Notamacropus eugenii: one gene and its partner. The protein of the gene in region 1 purifies or fractionates together with the protein of each later gene. This does not show direct contact. Links are inferred from orthologs where the notes say so. Each region holds a gene or a part of one and is shown in the gene's direction. Other genes may lie near its edges.

What was found.
Region 2: the proteins of SLC16A11 (region 1) and EMB purify together in Homo sapiens (co-immunoprecipitation; 3 studies listed by BioGRID and IntAct, counting the BioPlex papers as one, with this or other methods). This does not show direct contact. The link is inferred for Notamacropus eugenii from reciprocal best matches to the Homo sapiens genes SLC16A11 and EMB.

Annotation. Positions count from the first base shown.
Region 1 is NC_092873.1:78,938,074-78,945,085, forward strand, and holds SLC16A11 (monocarboxylate transporter 11), read left to right. Parts: upstream 1-4,502; coding exon 4,503-4,767; intron 4,768-5,065; coding exon 5,066-5,209; intron 5,210-5,301; coding exon 5,302-6,063; intron 6,064-6,189; coding exon 6,190-6,422; 3' UTR 6,423-6,467; downstream 6,468-7,012. UniProt on the Homo sapiens protein: Proton-linked monocarboxylate transporter. It catalyzes the transport of pyruvate across the plasma membrane.
Region 2 is NC_092875.1:413,021,267-413,028,383, forward strand, and holds the start of EMB (embigin), read left to right. Parts: upstream 1-4,080; 5' UTR 4,081-4,228; coding exon 4,229-4,322; intron 4,323-7,117. UniProt on the Homo sapiens protein: Plays a role in the outgrowth of motoneurons and in the formation of neuromuscular junctions.

The DNA of each region.
Region 1 (7,012 bases):
GGAGAACATGAACAAAGGGAGTAGGTTTCCAGGCAAATATAGACCAAAAAAAAGTCAACAAGAGAAGGCATATCAGTGGCAGACTTCATAATCAGGGGTTTGATGGGGGAAGGGCTCTACCATAGGGCAGTGTCCTCTCTGACACTTGCAATAATTGTCACTGTTCTATGAGTGAGACACAATAGAAAGGGGGAATCCATGGGGTAAGCCCTACAAGGCAGTGGTAGAAAGCACCCAAAGGAGAGAGCCTAGAATGGATACCTTGGAAGCTTTGATTTTATGAAGAATACAGAAAAAAGAGAGAGACCAGATAATTATAGGGTCTAGAGTAAACAAAGAGAGAAGATGGATAATGATTGGTTGGTTGTTGTACTTCCTTCTCAAAGAGGACCAAAATGACATCACTATGCTAGAGTCAAGTTTCAATGTGTCCAACTATGGCTGATCAGACCTATAGAAACTCGGAATACAGGTCAGACACAAATAGTCCATGTGGACATTTTGGGTGGATACTTTAAATTTGTACAGCCTGTGGATACTATAAATTTACACAGCAGACCTGTCTTCCTTGTCACACAATCAGTTCCAAAGTTCTTGAGAGAGACGTTGAGAGTCCTTGTATCGCTTCTTCTGACCACCATGCCTGCCCTGTGTGAGTTCTCTATAAAACAGTCTTTTTTGGCAAGCATATAAAACATATGCATTTGAACAACATGGCCAGCCCATTGGAATTGCCCTCTCTGAAGAAGAGTTTGAATGCTTGGCAGTTTAGTTTGAGTAAGGAGCTCAGTGTCTGGTTCCTTATCCTGCCATGTGATCTTCAGAATCTTCCTAAAACAATTTAAATGGAAGTGATTCAGTTTCCTGGAATGCTGCTGGCAGACTGTCCAGGTTTCACAGGAATGCAACAATGAGGTCAGCATAATGGCTCTGTAGACTTCAGTTTGGTAGTCAGTCTAATATCTCTTCTCTCCCAAACTTTCCTTCAGAACCTCCCAAACACTAAGCTAGCTCTGACAATGTGTCAACCTCATTACAATGTGTCAACCTCATTATCAATGTGTATATCCCTGGAAAGTACACTACCAAGGCAAGTGAACTTATTTATAGCATTCAAAACTTCTCCATTTGCTGTAACTGATGTGGTTCCACATATGAATGGTGTGGTGGTGGCTGATGGAGCACCTGTGTTTTCTTGGTGTTAATTGTTAGGTCAAAATTAGCACAAGAAGCACAACTTTGTTGCCTGTCAGTTTCAGAGGCTGTATCGAATGCACAATCATCCGCAAACAGAAAACCATGCACCAACACTCCCTCCACCTGGATCTTGACTTGTAGCCTTTTCAAGTTGAAGAATTTACCATCAATGTGGTAGCTGATTTTGAGAGAAAAGAGTGAGAGAAATTCTTTTTGAAAAGGGACACAGTGGGGAGGGAGGGATGAAGAGAAGTTGGAACTCAAAAGTTTTAGGAACAACTGTTGAGTACTGTTCTTGCCACTAGGAAATAAGAAATACAGGTAATGGGGTATAGAAAGTTATCTGGCCCTACAGGACAAAAGAGAACACGGGGACAAGGGAAGGGAAGGATGATAGAAGAGAGGGCAGATTGGTAATAGGGGCAATCAGAATGCTCAGTGGTTTGGAGTGGGGAGAAAATTTGGAACCCAAAATTTTGTGAAAATGAATGTTAAAAGTTAAATAAATAAATTTTAAAAAAATGAAAAGGGACACAAAAACAAAATTTCAAAACTAAGGAACAGGATTAGTTGAAGGGGAGGAGAGGAAGAGGGAATCTTTTTCTAATTGAGAGGGGGAAAGAAATACATAAGTACACAAAAGCAGGACAGAAAAATGAACTAATAAACAAAACCCTAAAGGGAAAAGTGTATCAAACAAGAACAGGGAATCAGGGATGAAAGAACCAGTGGGAACAGGGCCTCCTTAAAAATAGATTAAAGTAACTGGAGGAATATAATACTGTGTTTACAGCAGAAGAGGAAACTTGAAACCAAAAAGCTTCTGCACAATGTTAATGCATCCAGGATAAGAAGGGAAGTGGTCAAATGGGGGAAAAAAATCTTTGTATCAAATTTCTCTGATAAAGGTTTGGTATCCAAGATATATAATCAATCAATAAATATATGTAAGACTAATTGCCATTCTCCAGTAGGTGAATAAACATAAACAAACAGTTCTCAAAAGAACTGCAAGTTATTCACAACTAAATGAAAAAAATGTTCTGAATCACTAATAAAAAGAAAATTGCAAATCCAAACAATCCTGAGGTTTCACCTCTTACTCAGCAAATTGGTAAAAATGACCAAAAACGTCAACAATAAGTGTTGGAGGAGTTATCCAAAGACAGGCACACTGATACACTGTTGGTGAAGCTTTGAAGTGGTACAACCATTTTTGAAAGAATTTGGATCTATGAAAATAAAGTGGCAAAAATGCCTGTATCTTTTGAACCAGAGAAACAGTGGTAAACTTATACCCCATGGAAGCCATTGAGAAGGGAAAAAAATCCCCATATACTCCAAAATATTTAGAGCAGCACTTTTTGTGATAGCCAAGAATTGGAAATAAAGTAGATGCACAACATTTGGGAACGACTAAACAAACTGTGGTGCACTACTGTAATGGAATATTACTGTGCTATAAGAAAGGATGTGTGTGATGAATACAGAAAAGCATGGAAAGACCTATGTGAACTGATGAAGAGTGAATTAAGCAGAGCCAAGAAACAATCTATACAACAATTATGACAATGCAAATGGAAAAACAACACACCAAAAAATCAAGAGTAAATATAATAAAATTATAAAGCTCAATCAGAATGCAAACAAAGAGATAAGAAAAGACATTTCTATCCCTTTGTGGAGATGCTAAGTCCACTGGTGTTACACATTGTTCACATTTTGGATTGATCTGTGTTGATTTTTTTTCCTCTTCAAAAAGTACTATTTGTCACATGGAATGGTTCTCTGGGAGGAGGAGGAAGAGGGATACCTGGGATACTATGGTGATGGAAGAAACAGAATATAAAAATAAAAACTTATTTAAAAACATACAAGAGAGCTAAAAGAAGTTCCAAGAGGGGATTACTGAATTAAACTTAATATATCCTTTTTTTAAAAACCAAGGTATACGTAATAGAGATTTGGTCATATACTTCCATTTATCTGTTCATTGTTTAAAGAAAGTTCATGTTTGTTGACTTTTGTCAAGTTCATAATAAGAAATTTTTTTTTTAAAGAAAGGGTTGATAATTTTTGATGGAGAAGGGGAGGTGGTTCCCTGGAACTGGCCAAGACACTTTTCCTCTGGGTTAAATTTCCTTGTCTATAAATTGGACAAGGGGTTTGGGAGGCAGGTTCTACTAAATAATTTCTAAATTCGTGGTGCAATGGGACTGGAGGGGTTTTGAGGACAAGGATATTAGAGAGTGGAGAAAAGGTATTCCAGTACAAAGAGTGATGAGATAATGCTTTCTTCTCTGTGCGCATTTCCAGAATTGGAACTTTAGAGACAGTCAGTACCTCTGCCTTACTAATAATCTGTGCCCACTTCATCATTCACACAGAATGCTCTGAGTGGAATAGCTCAATAAAGTTAATTGCTTCACCCACTCCTGAGCTGGGCAGTGGGTACTTAAAGACCTGATTTTTAGGTTAGAATGATATGGTGATATTTCAAGTCGGCCTCAGTTTCCTCCTCTTAAATAATAAAAGTGTTAAACTACATGACACTTACCTCTAAGATCATTCTTAGCTATGCCTAATGTCTTATTAATCTACTTCTGCTCCTGGACCAAAGGTGCATTCTGGGCTTTGTAAACCACTGTATTCTTTCTTGCTGAGACAAGAGCAGGTGAGTGGATGTATGAGAAACTGGAAGGGACTTCCCTCTCTTACAAGAGAAGTAATTCAATCACCGTGGGACTCAACTCCTAGACTTCCTGTTTTTCTCCTGTGATTGGCTGGCAGCCCTGGTCCATCCCCACTCCACTCTGTTGTACCTTCTCCTTCCTCCTCTTTGCCCAGGTGGCTTGGTCCCTCAGGGTAACTTCTGTTTACAAAGAGAGAACACTCGTCAGTTCTATTGCTATTCTCCCTTGCCAGGCTTCTGACCTCCTCCAGGCAGAAGTGGGAAGAGGATCATCGTTGTCCTCCCCATCTAAACAGACAGAATGCTGAGGGTAAGTGAGGGGAGAAGGAAGGTTATTGATTAAAAGATGGAGTGTTGTTGGGGGAGGGCTTCCCTGGCACCCAGATCTCTCCTCTATCACTCCTTCATCTCCCCATTCCTACCAAAAGGAGCTGGGTATTTGGTTCCAAGGTTCTAGTAGCCCCTCTTCATCCACTCCAGGCTCCTTTAATGGCTTTTCCTTATGACCACAGGGGTGTTCTGTCCATGGGAAGACTGGAGGGAGGCAAATCCTAAAACCTAGTCTTTAAGGAGGAGCCAAGCCAGAGAGAGGGGTGAGAGTGATGGGGTTCTTATGATCCTTTTCCTCCTCTGCTCTTGTTTTCTCATTTCTGTATTTCTGTTCCAACAGATGAAGAAGTCTCCCTCACTGGCCAGGCCCCCTGATGGGGGCTGGGGCTGGGTGGTGGCAGGGTCTGCATTTGTGGTGAACGGGCTCTCCTATGGGCTGCTCCGCTCTTTGGGCCTTGCCCTCCCTGCCTTCGCAGAGTACTTTGATCGAAGTACCCAGGACACTGCGTGGGTCAGCGCCATAGCTCTGGCTGTGCAGCAGGCTGCCAGTGAGGAGGGCCCTAAGCAAGCTGGGATGGGGGGAAGGGAACAAGATGATTTTTAAGGCTTCAGTAAGGATCAAAAGGTAGCCCAGAAGATATAGCACAGGGCAAAGCTAAGAAGAGGGCCAAAGAACTAATCCAGCTACTAGCCTAGAGGACAAAAGTGGGTGGCAGCATAGCAGAAAGGTGGGTCCCATAGGGTTTTTTGGGGGGACAGGGATGGTTAGGTGAGGGAACCTTGCAAGGCAGAAAACAAACATAAGTGGGACATGCTAGAACTGACTCTAATTCCCATCTCTCCCAGGCCCAGTGGGCAGTGCTCTGAGTACCCGTTGGGGGGCACGTCCTGTGGTGATGGTGGGAGGTATCATCACTTCCCTTGGCTTCATTCTCTCTGCTTTTGCCAGCAGCCTCCTGCACCTCTACCTTGGCCTTGGCCTCCTTGCGGGTGAGGTGGGAGAGGGAGGGAAGTGCAGTACCTGCATTCCTTGGGGGAGGGAAGGTCAGAGTCATTGACTTCAGTTGCCCTCTTTTCTGTAGGCTCTGGCTGGGCTCTGGTGTTTGCCCCAGCCCTGGGCACCGTCTCTCGATACTTCTGCAGGCGCAGGGTCCTGGCTGTGGGGCTAGCCCTGACAGGCAATGGGGTGGCCTCCTTGCTCCTGGCCCCAGTTCTGCAGCTCCTCCTTGATGCCTTTGGCTGGCGAGGTGCCTTGCTCCTGCTTGGGGCCACCACCCTCCATCTCACCCCCTGTGGGGCCCTGCTCCGGCCTTTGGCTCTCTCTGGAGATCCTACTACCCCATCTCCTAGTCCCCTCAATGCTCTTGGTCTCACCCTGTTCACCCACCCTGCCTTTGCCGTGTTTTCACTGGGGACAACCTTGGTGGGGGCTGGTTACTTCATTCCCTATGTGCACCTTGCCCCCCATGCCCTGGACCTTGGGCTTGGAGGATATGGGGCTGCTCTGGTGGTTGCTGGGGCAGCAGTGGGGGATGCAGGAACCCGACTGATCTCAGGGTGTCTGGCAGACCGTGGCTGGATCCCTCTTCCACGGTTGTTGGCCATGACTGGGGCACTGACAGGACTGGGGTTGGTGGCAGTGGGGCTGGTGAAAGAGGAAGAAGAAGGATGGGGGGGAACCCTACTGGCAGCAGCAGGAGCCTACGGGATGAGTGCAGGTGCATTTGCTCCCCTGGTATTTGGTGTCCTGCCTGGTCTTGTAGGGCTTGGGAACATCTTGCAGGCCACAGGACTGGTGATGATGCTGATGAGCCTGGGGGGCCTCTTGGGCCCACCACTTTCAGGTAAGGAAGTCAGGCACATAGGATGATTTGGTCCCTTCCTTCCTCCCCTCTCCACCTCGAGTTTCTACTTTCCCTTGGGGAGAGAAGTTTTTAATTTCCCCATGCCTCTTCTCTCCTGTTCCACAGGTTTCCTCCGGGATATGACAGGTGACTTTAAAGCTTCCTTCCTTGTCTGTGGCTCCTTCATCCTTTCTGGCAGCTCCATCTACCTGATGCTCCCTGGAGCCCTGCCTCCCTGTCACTCTGCTCCTCCTCCCCCGACTCCAGCTCCTCCTGAGCAGGGAGAGCTCCTTCCTATACCTGAAAGTGCCCTCATCTCCCCAAGAGATCCTCACTCTGTCCCAAATACCACTTGTTGACTCCTTTTTCTTCCCTTTTCCCTCCAAATAAAATTACTGCCAACCCCCCTTTTATCTATGTTCAAACCCTTTAAGCAACTCAGACAGTTGCAGAAATTATAAGTGGGAAGAAGAGGGATGAGCAACCCTATATTATTAGGATAGAGGGAAGCCCCAAATTGAGGGTACCAAGTATGCGGGACAAGGTAGATTTCCTTTATTCTCCCTAACTTCTGTAGGAGGTTGGCCTCCTCTCCACCCCTACCTTGGGTGGTACCAAGGAAAGGTACTTTGGTTTTGAGCAAGAATGATGTCCCTATGCTGAACCCTAAACATCATGATCTCTTCCTTCTGCTCCCTTCCCATCTTCAGTTTCTTTCCCCACTAGTACCCTATGACATTTTACCAATTAATCCTTTCTTTTAGTCTGGGGAACCCAAGGATCCTGTTGGCATCTCTCAGTCCTCCCTCTCAAATCTTGATTCCCTCTTCAGAAAAAAAGGTGTCAAATATTTAAAAAGGACCTATAATACAGAGAGCAAAGTCTGACCTGGCATAGTCCAGGACAGCCCAGCCCTGGAGATTGGATAAACAGGAATTTGCAGTACTCA
Region 2 (7,117 bases), on another chromosome or scaffold:
CTCCCTTCCCTTATCCCCATCTTCTCTTTTGTCCTGTAGGGCAAGATAAATTTCTATACGCCATTACCTGTATATCTCATTTCCTAGTTGTGTGTAAGAACAATACTCAACAGTTGTTTCTAAAACTTTGAGTTCCAACTTCTCTTCATCCCTCCCTCCTCACCAACCCCCACTGGGAAGGCAAGTAATTCAATATAGGCCATATCTGTGTAGTTTTGCAAATGACTTCCATAATAGTCATGTTGTGTAAGACTAACTATATTTCCCTACATCCTATCCTGCCCCCTATTTCTTCTACTCTCTATTTTGACCCTGTCCCTCCCCAAGAATGTTGACTTCTAATTGCTCCCTTCACTCATTGTCCTCCCTTCCATCATACCCCCTACCCTGCTTATCTACTTCTCCCCCACTTCCCTGTATTGTAAGATAGGTTTTCATACCAAAATGAGTGTGCATTTTATTCCTTCCTTTAGTCGAATGTAATGAGAGTAAGCTTCATTTTCTCTCACCTCCCCCCTTTTTACCTCCACTGAAAAGTCTTTTACTTGCCTCTTTTATGAGATAATTTGCCCCATTCCATTTCTCCCTTTCTCCTCCCAATATATTTCTCTCACCCTTTAATTTCATTTTTTTAAGATGTGATCCCATCCTATTTGACTTACCCTGTGCTATCTGTGTGTGTGTGTGTGTGTGTGTGTGTGTGAGTATGTGTAATCTCACCAACTACCCAGATACTGAAAAAAGTTTCAAGAGTTACAAATATTATCTTTCCATGTAGGAATGTAAATAGTTCAATTTTAGTAAGTCCCTTATGATTTCTCTTTCCTGTTTACCTTTTCATACTTCCCTTGATTCTTGTGTTTGAAAGTCAAATTTTCTTTTCAGCTCTATTCTTTTCATCAAGAATGTTTGAAAGTCCTCTATTTTATTGAAAGACTATTTTTTCCCCTGAAGTATTATACTCAGTTTTTCTGGGAAGGTAATTCTTGATTTTAATACTAGTTCCTTTGACTTCTGGAATATCATATTCCACACCCTTCAATCCATTAATGTAGAAGCTGCTAGATCTTGTGTTATCCTGATTGTATTTCGACATTACTTGAATTGTTTCTTTCTAGCTGCTTGCAATATTTTCTCCTTGACCTGGGAACTCTAGAATTTGGCTACAATGTTCCTAGAGGTTTCTTTTTTTGGATCTCTTTCAGGAGGTGATTGGTGGATTCTTTCAATATTTATTTTGCCCTCTGGTTCTAGAATCTCAGGGCAGTTTTCCTTGATAATTTCATGAAAAATGATATCTAGGCTCTTTTTATGATTATGGCTTTCAAGTAGTCCCTTAATTTTTAAATTGTCTCTCCTGGATCTATTTTCCAGGTCAGTTGTTTTTCCAGTGACATATTCCCCATTATCTTCCATTTTTTCATTCTTTTGGTTTTGTTTTGTGATTTCTTGATTTCTCATAAAGTCATTAGCCTCCATCTGTTCCATTCTAATTTTGAAAGAACTATTTTCTTTAGTGAGCTTTTGAACTGCCTTTTCCATCTGGCTAATTCTGCTTTTGAAAGCATTCTTCTCCTCATTAGCTTTTTGAACTTCTTTTGCCAGTTGAGTTAGACTGTTTTTAAAGGTGTTATTTTCTTCAGCATTTTTTTGGGTCTCCTTTAGCAAGGTGTTGACCTGCTTTTCGTGCTTTTTTTGCATCTCTCTCATTTCTCTTCCCAATTTTTCCTCCACCTCTCTAACTTGATTTTCAAAATCCTTTTTGAGCTCTTCCATGCCCTGAGACCATTGAATATTTATTTTCGATGTTTGGGATACAGAAGCCTTGACTTTTATGTCTTTCCCTGAGGGTAAGCATTGTTCTTCCTCATCCAAAAGGATGGGAGAAGATATCTCTTCACCAAGAAAGTAACCTTCTATAGTTTTATTTTTTTCCCCTTTTTTGGGCATTCTCCCAACCAGTTACTTGACTTTTGGGTCTTTTGTCAAGAGCAGGGTATACTCTGGTGATCTGTAAGATCTCAGTTCCTCCCAAGTGGCACAATCAAGCATGTACACTGGTCTGGGAGTAGGGGGAGATTTTTGTGTCTAGAATCTTAGCAGAGTTTCCTCTTCACAACCACCTCACCTCCAGTGCCACCAAGACAGCATTGGGGGCTGAGATTCAGATAAGATGTGGGGGCAGGGCTGCCATTTAATGAGCGATAAAGATCTGCCACAGGGCCTTTATACAGAGTTGAGGTAAAAATCAGCTGTTCAGCACCCCCAGGGGTTTTACAATCCAACAACACATGCGGGCTGCTGTAGGGGCTGCTATGGGAACTGCTACTGCCTGCCCGATGAGGTCTCTGAAGGTTGCAGCCTGAAGTTGGAGCTATGGGAAGGTCCTTCTCCCTTCTTGGCCAGCTGAAAAAACCCTCTCACTGACCTTTGGCACCTGTGGGTTGAAGGATCTGTGAACCACTGCTACTGCGACTGGAGATTCCACCCCCAAGCCCTGTTCATGTCCTCCTAGAGTTGTGCCATGCTGAGCCAGCCAAGGCTGGGCTGGGCTCCACTCTGCGTCCAGTGTGACAGACATTTCCTATTGGCCTTTCAGGTCACCCTGGGCTGGAAATTTCCTCCACTCTGTTGTTCTGTGGCTTCTGTTGCTCTAGAATTTGTTGAGAGTCTTTTTTTACAGATATTTTATGGCTGTGGAGGGAAAGCCAACATACGTGTGTCTTTCTACTCTGCCATCTTGACTCTACCCCCTCTCTAAGAACATCTTTACTAGTTTCAAGTCAAAGCAATTTTATATATATATATATATATATATACACACACACATATACATATTCATATAGATATAGACATATACTTATACATGTAAACCTTTTAGTAGGGTGCTAGATTTGGTCAAAATGACTTGATGTCTTTGAATAAGTTAAAAAGAGATCAGACTTTTGGGGGCACAGGGAGCATAAACTTCTTTTACCCATGGAGATTATCATTGGCTTTACAATTTATAATTTTAGAAATGTAGGAATCTTGTGAGTTACCAATTAAGAGGTTCTTCCACATTTTGAAATTGCAGCTGCTGCTACCGCTGCTGTTTTTGTTGCTGTTATCTTGCTCTGTTTTCAAAGAGGACCGATGACATCATGGAGTGATATCTTGACTCATACTTGAACTGGATTTAAGTGAAGGAGAGTTGCTCTTCCTGAGTCATTGAAGTTAAAAGTCAGGATGACTGGTGATGGCCTGTAATGAAGTTAATGACCTTGGAGGGGCAAGTGTAGTAGTCATGGAGAGCTGGAAAAACTAGAGAAACCTCAAACCACAAAAGGGCTTGAGGAGTAAGACAAGGCAAAGTCAGTAAAGGGCATCAGCAAGACAGATCCTCAGATTTGCTGAGGAAAAAACAGAAGTATGGATCAAACTTCTTTTCAGGAAATGAGTACTTTTCACTTCCTGAATATATGCCAATTGTATATACCACTTTTCATGGTATTGTGTTATATTCTCCAAGTCTCTTAGACAAGCAACAATCTCCCCCTCAAAAACCAAACAAAAAAGCACTCTACCCAACCAGTTTTTAACAATGGTCTGATATAATGGAGAATGCTAGATTGGGAATCATGATTCTTGGGCTCAAATATTGTCTACAATACTTCCTAACTCTGGGGCCCTTGGCATGATACTTTATGTCTCTGAGTCACAGTTTCCTCTTCTCTAAAATGAGGTTAACACTATTATCATTGGTTACCTCACAGGTTTGTTGTAAGGAAAGTACAGTGCTTTTCACAAAATAGAAATTTGATAAATACATTTTGGATTGATCCGAAGTGAGGTATTTGGGACTTCAAATATGTTTTTCCATAGTAAAAAAAAAAGGGTCATAAGTGATGTAAGTTTCCTAAGCTGGTCCATAAAAACCTATTTCACTCACAACACATGAGATCTATAGTAGCAACAGAATTGTAAACTCTAAACCAACTCTGTTTCATCATATTGTGTCCACAGAGACAAGTGTTCTAAGTTCTAACTCTGAATTCTGAGAACATCTCTCCTTTTTTTTATAGTCATAATAGCACGTCTATGCCAGCTTTCTCAGTCATCTTAGAGAGTGAAAAAGGAAGGTATCTGACTTGCAGTGGCAATTATAAGAAAAAAAGCTATATTTACTGATTTGCAACAAGGAAGGGTCCCTACTTGGTGGAGAGGGACTTGAAGCAAGACTTATGTCATGGTAGCCAATTCCATATATAGACAAGACATTCACAAGTTAAACATTTATATCCTGAAGACTTCTTTAATTTTTGGATTATTTCATTTTGCAGGTATGTGATCATTCATAGCCAAGTCTAATTACATGACATGTAATGCAGAAAAATTTGTAAATATTTTGAAAGTTTCAGGGATTTCAGTCCATAAGTTGAACAGCGTTCATGAGATACAAAGAACCATTTTTGTGGCATTAAAATGGACCGAATATGTAACCTGAAGCAAATGTATAGCAGGAGTTGTTGTGTTCGTCCTTCGTTGCTGAAGAAGACCATGCCATCAGAGAAATGACATGACTTTCACTTAACTTTGTTTTGAGTGAGGTAGAGCTGTGCAGGTCACCAGCCTCACTTCTCCTCCAGAGCCATCTGAATTCAGTGACTAGATATTCATCAGGATGACTGGAGATGACCCAGGATGAGGCAATTGGGGTTGTGACTTTCCCAAGGTCACACAGCTAGTGAGTGTCAAGTGACTGAGGTGAGATTTGAACTCAGATCCTCCTGACTCCTGCACTAGTGCTCTATCCACTGTATCACCTAGCTGCCCCATAGCAGGAGTACTCTAGCACACAAACAGTGTCAGGTACTAGAGATAACTACAAATAGTTTTGATAAAAAACCCAAATGAACCCTAGTTGTTTTATGTCAGCAGAATATTTCGTTCCACACAGAGAACTGAACTAGATACCTGTGTGAATTTTCCATGGAGCAGGCCTCATTAGTGTATAAGACTTTTGTACAATATTGGGTAATCTTTCAATTACAGTAGATGAGAACTTCTCAAATTACTGAGGTTCAGAACTATTTCTGAATTCAAAGAATGATAGAGTTGGCAAGGACCTGCAAGATCAGTTAATCCAACCATCTCATCTTACACACAAGGTAGCCAGCTCCTAGAGATGTTATAGGACGTATCCAGGATCACATACCTTCTTAAGTGGCACAGCTAAAACTAGAATTCAGACATCCTGACCCCCAGTGCTTTGCATTATTACTCACCATGTCATGCATCAAACAAAGATTTATTTTTTTGTCTCTTCCTTGTAAGAGGGCTACAGACATTGCAGACATAGGTGATTCTGCTTTTTGGATTGCCACATTAGGGATTGGTAGTCAGTCAATCCATCGACAAGCATATATAGGTACTAAGAACCTATTATATTCCACCGTACTAGGCAGTGGAACTAAAAACATAGGGAAGGAAAAAAAATCGCTATCCTTGACACACACCCCCTACACATGTGGAATAAATGTAAAGAGAATAAGTACAGATTGGGGGTGGTGAAGAAGCACGGTTGTTGGGATAATCAGGAAAGGTTTCAAGTGAAAAAAGTGGTGCTTTAGATGCATTTTGATAGAAGAGAGGGATTGTGTGAGGCAGAGATGAGGAAGGAACTGTGTTATAGGCATAAGGGACATAAATGTGAAAGCCTAGAGATAGAAGAGGAACTGTTGTGATTGAGGTATATGGAAAAAAGCACTTTAGTGGGATCTAAAGATTGCAGGAAAAAATAACATATAAGGAATCTGGAAAGATAGCTTGAAATGGGCTTTTAAAAAAGGAAGCTTTCTGATTTGGATGAAAATTACAAGAAGCAATTATATAAGTTACTGACTGCTAGCAAGGAAAGAGACCTGATTTGGTACAGAGAGGCATAAAGTGAAACCTGGGACGTGGTCAACACTATATATAGATTGATTATATTAAAATGAAAAGGTTTTGTATAAGCAAAATCAATGCAGTTAAAATTAGAAGAAAAGTAGAAAACTGGGAAAAACTTTTCACAGCAAGTTTCTTTGATAGAGCACTTGTTACTCAATTATGTAGAGAACTGAGTTAAATTTATAAGGATGCCCATCATTACTCAACTGATAAATGGTCAAAGGATATGAATCGGCAGTTTTCAGATGAAGTAATTAAAGCTATTTTTAGTTATATGAAAAAATGATTTAAATCACTATTCATTAGAGAAATGTAAATTTATAAAGCTCTAAGGTACCACTTCATACCTATCAAATTGGCTATATGACAGAAAAAGAAAATGACAAATGTTGGAGGGAAAATTGGAACACTAATGCATTGCTGGGGGAATTGTGAACTGATTTAACCATTCTAAAGAGCAATTTGTAACTGTGCCCAAAGGACTAAAACACTTTATATATCCTTTGAACTACCAATATTACTGCTAGGTTTGTATCCCAAAGAAAGTTTTTTTGAAAAAGGAAAAGGACTTATATGTGCAAAAATATCTATAATAGCTCTTTTTGTGGTGGCAAAGGATTGGATTGGAAATTGAAGGGATCTCCATCGATTGGGAAGGGGCTGAACAAGTTGTGATAGAATACTATTGTGCTATAATAATGATCAGGATGCTTCAGAAAAAACCTGGAAAGACTTACATGACCTAACGAAAAGTGCAGTGAGGCAAATCAGGAGAACACTGTACACAGTAACAGCAATATTGTACAGTGGTCAACTATGATGATCTAAGACAATTCCAAAGGATTTATGATGAAAAATGCTGCCCACCTCCAGAGAAAGAACTGATAGAGTCTAAAAGCAGATCACAACATATATTTTTTAGACTTTATTTTTGTTGTTTTTTGGGGGGAGGTTACAGGGGGGGGTCTAAGTTTTCTTTCAAAACATGGCTAGTATGGAAATATATTTTGCATGAGTGCACATGTATAATCTATATCAAATTGCTTGCCATCTCAGGGAGGAGGGAGGAGAGGGAAGAAAGGAGAGAATTTGGAACTCAAACTTAACAAAAAAAGAATGTTAAAATTATTTTTCCATGTTGTTGGAAAAAAATAAAATATTAAAAAGAACACTGTATACAGAACAG